2 linked regions of the Cricetulus griseus genome follow. The protein of the gene in region 1 interacts with the protein of each later gene in a biochemical or structural test. Links are inferred from orthologs where the notes say so. Each region holds a gene or a part of one and is shown in the gene's direction. Other genes may lie near its edges.

What was found.
Region 2: the proteins of Cacna1a (region 1) and Cacnb4 form a complex in vitro, tested with the Homo sapiens proteins (2 studies listed by BioGRID). The link is inferred for Cricetulus griseus from reciprocal best matches to the Homo sapiens genes CACNA1A and CACNB4.

The regions. Positions count from the first base shown.
Region 1 is NC_048596.1:159,831,228-159,835,044, reverse strand, and holds part of Cacna1a (voltage-dependent P/Q-type calcium channel subunit alpha-1A), read left to right. Parts: intron 1-721; coding exon 722-828; intron 829-2,141; coding exon 2,142-2,816; intron 2,817-3,817.
Region 2 is NC_048599.1:121,898,760-121,902,576, forward strand, and holds part of Cacnb4 (voltage-dependent L-type calcium channel subunit beta-4), read left to right. Parts: intron 1-1,504; coding exon 1,505-1,654; intron 1,655-3,777; coding exon 3,778-3,817. UniProt on the Homo sapiens protein: The beta subunit of voltage-dependent calcium channels contributes to the function of the calcium channel by increasing peak calcium current, shifting the voltage dependencies of activation and inactivation, modulating G protein inhibition and controlling the alpha-1 subunit membrane targeting.

The DNA.
Region 1 (3,817 bases):
ATTGGTGGGTTTGTTTTTCTGTTTCTTACTTGTTTTCTCTCTGTCTTTCCATTGGTGGATTTTTCTTCTTTTTTTTCCCCTTGAGACAGGATCTCACTTTATAACCCTGGCTGTTCTAGAACTAGTTCTGTAGACCAGGTTGGTCTTGATCTTATAGAAATCTACCAGCCTCTGCCTCATAATTGCTGGATTAAAGGCTTGGCCAGCATGCCCAGCCTTTGATGGTTTTTCTGACTCCCCAACCATCTAGGAAATGGACTGAAGCACAGAGCCCAGCCCTCTCCCCTCATCTTCCCACAGGCTGATGATAGATCAGACACAGGACTAGGGGTGCAGCCCAGTAACAGCCCCTTTCTAGCTGTCACAAAGCCTTGGGGTTCATCCCCAGCACCAAAAAAGGAATTGGGGGGACAGATGTAGAGGGAGCCAGGCATGCTTGCATATGACTATTATCCCAGCACTGGGGAGGCTGGCCCAGGATGATCTCAAGTTCAAGGCCAGCCTGGGCTTAAAGGGTTAATAAGCTAGTGAGCCAGCCCACACACAAGGGGGTGGCAATACATTTCACCACCCAGTCTGACTAGGGACCTTAGTTCCAACTGGTTAAGGCCCAGGCCAAACTTGGTTCTCAGTACTTCAGATTTTGCCCCTGGCTGGCAGCAAAGTGGGAAGTGAGCCCCCAGGCTTGTTCTTGTGAACATGAATCCCATTTGCTTCCTAGGATGAACAAGAGGAGGAGGAGGCAGCCAACCAGAAACTGGCACTACAGAAAGCCAAGGAGGTAGCAGAAGTGAGTCCCCTGTCTGCGGCCAACATGTCTATAGCTGTGTAAGTGTCCCCAAGCCTCTGGTGCCGTTCAGGCAAGGATGTGGGGAGGGTTAAGGTGGCCCCTAAATGCTGAGCCTGGGAGGTGCCTTTGTCCTGTCACCCACTGTCACTGGGTATTTAATGAACATCTACTATGCACCTGGTCCTGTTGTAATTGCTGGGAAAGAAGCATCCTTGTTGGGGTTCGGGACACCTGTGTGTAGCTGTTTGAGTGCAGGAGATGATAAGTGAGCAGGACAGGTGAATAAATGACTCACTGTGGAGCCTCCAAGGAGCAGCTGGGAAGGGGCAGGGAGGGGAATCTGGGCTGCACTGCTGTTCTGTGCCCTGTGTGTGCATCCCAGGCCAGTGCTCTGCCACTGAGCTTCACTCCAGCCCCCAAAGTTGTGACTTTATAGCCAGGTGTGGTGGCATACACCTCACTCTGGAGGCAGGAACGGGTCTGTATGAGTTCAAGGACAGCTGGATCCAGACTAGGCTTAGTAACATCCTGTCTCCAGAAGACAAACAACCGTGTTAGGCAGGGCCTCAGCCTAACAGAGCTCAAAGGAGATGAGAGAGCCAGCAAGAGAGGGAAGGAAGGCTCTGAGGCGGGGTGTTTCAGGAATAGGGAAGACACTAGCATGGCTGGGAAAGGGGTGAGGAGACAGATGTGATGTAAGAACAGAGTAGGCAAGGCCTTGGAGGCCATCTAGAAAACTCGGGCTCTGGTTTCAGGGGTTTGGGCTCCTAATTAAGTGAGAGCCAGAGAGGGCTCTTGAGCAGTGGAGTGTCTAGACCAGATTTGAATGCTCGCAGGCGCCCTCTGGTTGTTCTTGGGGATGACAGCCTTGGGGTGGGGATGGTTATGCGGGCCTGAAGATCAGATTCAAGATCCTGGGCTGCCCATGCCAATGTGATGAGGACTGAGCAGGGTAGGGTGGTGGGTGCCGCTGGTTTCAAGTCATACCTAAAGGAAGGGCAGACATTTATTTCTCTGTGGATCAGAGGCAGTAACAGGGAAACTGTCTTCATTAAAGGAAGGTTCTCAAACACCCTCATTCAGAGCCACATCCCTGAAGGGAAGCGGATGTGGGAAACTGACCTAATCAGCAATCCAAATGGAAAGGTCAGTAAGATGGCTCCGCTGGTAAAGACCTGAATTCAGTCCCTAGGAGCTCACACAGAGAAAGAAGAGAACCGAACAGGGAACACCCACATACAAACACATCAATGTAATAAATGTTGAACGAACCCACGGGGGTGAGGGTCGCAGCCCTTGTTATCCGACACGGCCGCACGGTACAGCATGCAGCCCACTTCGTGCTTTGCAGGAAGGAGCAGCAGAAGAACCAGAAGCCCGCCAAATCGGTGTGGGAGCAGCGCACCAGCGAGATGCGCAAGCAGAACCTGCTGGCCAGCCGCGAGGCGCTGTACGGGGACGCGGCTGAGCGCTGGCCCACCGCCTACGCGCGCCCGCTGCGGCCGGACGTCAAGACGCACCTGGACCGGCCGCTCGTGGTGGACCCGCAGGAGAACCGCAACAACAACACCAACAAGAGCCGCGCGCCCGACGCGCTGCGCACGACCGCGCGGCCCCGCGAGAGCGCGCGCGACCCCGACGCACGGCGCGCCTGGACAGGGAGCCCTGAGCGCGCCCCTGGCCGGGAAGGCCCGTACGGCCGCGAGAGCGAGCCGCAGCAGCGCGAGCACGTGCCGCCCCGCGAGCACGCGCCCTGGGACGCGGACACCGAGCGCGCCAAGGCCGGGGACGCGCCCCGCCGCCACACGCACCGGCCTGTGGCCGACGGGGAGCCTCGACGCCATCGCGCGCGCCGCCGGCCCGGGGACGAACCCGAAGACAGGCCGGAGCGCAGGCCGCGTCCCCGCGAAGCCGCCAGGCCAGCCCGCGCTGCAGACGGCGACGGCGATGATGGAGAACGCAGGCGGCGACATCGACACGGGCCGCCCGCTCACGACGACAGGGAGCGCAGGCACCGGCGCAGGAAGTGAGTGGGCTCCGGGAGGGATCTGGGTGCCCAGGTGGGCCTTCAACTCTCTCCGGGCCGAAGAGTTTCCCTAGTAGCTTAGGGTGACAGTCACTAGGCCCAGCATCCTGTAAGATTCGGGGATGTACCCCCAGTGGCCACAGCCGGGTTAGCAGATGGGGAAACAGATGCAGTTCAGGGCTAGAATGAACCCAGGGCCTCATATTCTGTGTAAGAGTCACGCCCCTCACTGGAGGATTTTAGGATGGCTCTCTGCAGCAGAGCCATCCTGTCACAGAGGAATTCTAGCCTGGCACTCTATCACTGAGCCACACCTAGCTCCGCACCAGGGAACTCTAGGCCAGCCCTCTACTGCTGAGCCACGCCCTGAGCCCTTTACTGCAGGATTCTAAGCAGGGACTCCACCAAGGAACTATATACCCCATCTCAGCGTTATATACAAAAAGTCTAGGAGCCGGGCGTTGGTGGCGCACGCCTTTAATCCCAGCACTTGGGAAGCAGAGGCAGGCGGATCTCTGTGAGTTCGAGGCCAGCCTGGTCTCCAGAGCGAGTGCCAGGATAGGCTCCAAAGCTACACAGAGAAACCCTATCTCGGAAAAAAAAAAAAAAAAAAAAGTCTAGGACCCTGCCATCTGTCGTCTTACACAAACAGACCTAAGGAGAGCCCGTAGTCCCCACGAGATTCCTACAGCTTTTTCATTGTTTGCTGCTTACTCTTGAACCGGTGCACTCTTGACATCAGTGTTCTCCCCTGAGGATGTAACTACCTAGAAATGACTGAGTCGTTGCTAGAATTAAATAAGTCACCTCCAACGGCTCACATGGGCTGTAGGGCGTGTGAAGCACTGGGGACTCAGCACCTGCAACTGTCATTTTGCCAGCCCTTTGCTTACTTGAGGGTGGTCATGGGAATCTGATCTCTCAGACATAAGGGGAGGTATCGTCTGTGACAGTATACCCGACCAGTAGCCACGTTTTCTTATCCTTCTCATAACATTTTG
Region 2 (3,817 bases), on another chromosome or scaffold:
ACATACTAATCACTTTGGGGAAATCAAAGGCAAAATGAGGAAGGGTGGGATGGTGCTAAGGGGGCCTTTCCCGAAAGGGGGCTCAACCCCTGGGACACCAGCAACATGGACGGACATGCTTCCTAATGGGCCGACTTCTTCCTTTTATGCCGTCTCTCAGGTACCAGCACACTTTCTGTTTTCTCAATAATGGAAAGGCTTAAAGGTCAAGAAAAGACACAATGGTGCTTGTTCCAAAGTCAAACAGAGAGAACTGAAGCTCATGACTTTGCACAGCACCTCACTCCCCAGTGGCCAGAGAACTGTCACTCACATTGAGTCAGAGGCTCGGTGTTCCATAGCTGTTTCTTAGAACCACAGTAAACCCCTTTGGGAAGTCGAATTAGCCATCTTAGGCAGCAGCCCTTAAGTTCACCGGGGTACAACTTAACAAATTAGTGCCCCAGTAGGCTGACTTAATTTCAGGAAATAACTGAAGCCCTAGGAAACTCTGATTCATAGTCTGTTGTCCCTGTCACAGTAAAATGTAAACTCCAAACCTACGCACCAAAGTGTCCAAAAGGGTCCACTTGCCTTTTCTTAATTACAAAATAAGCAGGACTGTTATTTCAGGTGTATTATCCTGAATTAAAGACAGGAAACTAAGAGTCAGATTGTTGGAGTCTCTCTGTCACATCAACTCATGCTCCTTTCAGCTCAGTCTCAAGATGGGCACAAAGGTTGGCTTCTGCAGGGGCTCTGTGCAGAAAGGGCTGAATATGAGAAGGTTACTTGGGATTATCCGAATTACTTAGAATTTCATGCCGTGATGATTCAATGAAGCTTTCGTTCTTCCTTGTTACAATGTCAGTATTAGAGTTAATGTAAATTCCACTTTCCTCTGTGCTAATCCTAGAGTTGGTATGTTACATCACACACACACACACACACACACACACACACACACACACACACACACACACACAGAGGAAAAGAGTTTCTTGTCAATGCTGATAAAGACCATGAAGGCACCTTTGTACTCATTCCTGGAAGGCTTAAACAATATGATTTCTATCTATTTTCTAGAAATTACCAGTAGAAACATTCTCTTGAGGCAGATGGCTTAGACTAAACTGACATCTGCCCTGGGACTCAGTAAATCAATAATTGCCAATGTGATTTTGCTGATAATCTGAGTAAGACTGTGCTGACAGACTGTTAGCTCACTTACATTGAAACACAACCATGCTCTTGAGTCTTTGTGATAGTAGGACAGCAGAATCCACGAGTTACAGTAGAGATCATATTTACCATTCAGGCCATTGCAAATAAGACCCCTGAAGAATCTTCCTTTAGTCTATCAACTGAAAACATTTCCTACAAAATACAAAAGCACGGTGTTGGTGGTTTCTATGCACTGTATGTGTAATGTGGCTTCGTACATCAGGTGACTAGCATTTGATCCCTCTGCTTCCCTGAAATAAACACTGAGACGTGAGGTTAACTGAATTACTATTGATAGCAGCTTTCCTCTCTGCTTTCAGAAATATAACAATGATTGGTGGATAGGAAGGCTGGTGAAAGAGGGCTGCGAGATTGGCTTCATCCCAAGTCCTCTTCGGTTGGAGAACATACGTATTCAGCAAGAACAGAAAAGAGGCCGATTCCATGGCGGGTAACATCCCATCTTCTTCATGAGCTAGCCTTTTTTTCTTCCCTCCCTCCCCCTTTTGCCCCCCTCCCTCCCTTCTTCCTTACTTTATTTTGTGGGTAAAATTTCAAGTTTCTTATTAAAAACTGGCTGAAGCAGTTCATTCTTTTAACTTAACCTCTGTTTTCAGCTGGATTCTATTTTATCTTGGAAACATGCTCTTGAAGACTCTCTTTGCCTTCACCCCAATGAGAGCCTACTTTTAAAGCAAAGGGACACTTAACTGCACACATACTGTTCTTGAGGAGGACACAAAGGTTTGGGGTTCCATTGTGTTCTGAACTCCAGCAACTCAGAAATTCACATGAATTCCACAGTGGCAGCTGCTTCCTGTGGGCTCAGAAAACCTATCTGCAAACCCTAGTTTTCTTCTGTGAGAGTTACATGGGGCCTCATTTCTCAAGACAGCTCAGGTAGCAGCTGACATGACCAAGTGTTGTGGTTTTGCTTGGTTCTCTGTCAAAAGCTGTGTCCAATAAACTCAGAATGTGATGGTGCGGGACAGTCCTGGGCACACTTTTCTTTACTTGGTTTCTTGTGCCGTCATCTTCTGCTGACACTGTGCTGAAGACACTGGGGAGCTGCAATGTACCAGCCTCCCATGGTCAAAGGAAACAGCACACAGACTTCAGAGCGCAAGTGGCAGGTCCCAGGAGGGTGAGCAGTTTGAGAGAAGTCCTGACTGCATTGGGTCTCAGTGGTACTGCTACCTGCCCTGAAGCACAGATTTCAAATGTGTTAGCAAGTTTTGCTAATGTTATTGCTGTGAGACAATCTCGCTATGTAGTTCAGGCTTCCCTTTGGTGAGGCAATTCTTCTGCACCAGCCCCACACCCTAGTGCTGGATCACAACTGTGCATCGCCATGTCTGACTGAAGCAGTTCTTTCCTTTTATTCAATCTCTCTTTCCAGTTAATTTTTCTAAATAAAAAAAAATGTTGTGCTATTTAAGTCTTCCCTAATGAAAACCTTTCAATAGTAATGGAAGATCATAGAGGTATAGTTAAGCACCATTCTAATGATTAATCTTCTGTTAGGGTGTTTTATTATTAATCCTTTGGTTCCCTTTGCCCTAGACATTTCATTCTCTATGCTTCTTAGCACATCAGGAACACTTGGCCCTTCCAGGGGGCCTTTGCATTTCCTTCCTCCTACTGGGTACCTCTTCCTCCTTTGCTGTTACCAGATCACTCCATCTCCTTCAGGTGCTTATTGCCGTTCCAGTGACTCCTTCCTTCCCCACTGTATTTTAAGTTGTATCCACTCCAGACTCACCCTTTCCCTGCATTTCCATCTCTTTCCAAATAAATTGTTTCTATTATACTTACTACTCTCAGAAAAATTAGATTTTTACCTATTTCTCTTGTTTGCCTTGATTGTCTCCTACTAAAAAGTGTCTCAATAATCTCCCACCATTGTCGCTATTATACACACACACACACACTTTTTTTTTTTTTTTTACTTCAAGGCAAGAGAAACAATAATACCAAGGGCTCATTCACAGAAGCTAATTTGTCAGCTTCTCTCTGTAAGGTATAGATAACTCCTATTTCCATAGATGGGGAAAACAAACACCCAAAGATGTGTTGCAGTATTTTCCACAGGCAGTAAGTGACAGAACTGCTCATCATTGGGCTATAAACATACATGACTTACTATTGATAGCCCCATTACTGTTGATAGCAGGAAAAGTTTGTGGGACATCCCCGACCCCATACACTTAAGAAGCATTTCTCCAGGTCCTCTTGCTTGTATTGAGCTGTCTGGCCTCTGACTGGTACTTCAGTACTTGAATTCAGGTAAACACATATCTCCACATTGCATCCTTGCCAGGGGTCCTTCTGCCCAATTTTTGCACAAATAACAGGGAAAGAGAATTTGCCAAGCATTTCCAAGTCTCAGTTAGATCTCCACTTTCTCTGAGAAATGAGGTCAGCGAAATCATTTGAGCAGATTCCCGAAGCTCTTCTAACAAGCTTTGGTATGTTTTGAATTATTTAGTAGAAGGCCAAAGAACACCTTGGATTCTCAGTTTCTGTTTTCAAAGGATCTGGGGCGAGAGTCTTAAGTTTGTTTCCATGGTCTAGGAAATCGAGTGGAAACTCTTCCTCCAGTTTGGGTGAAATG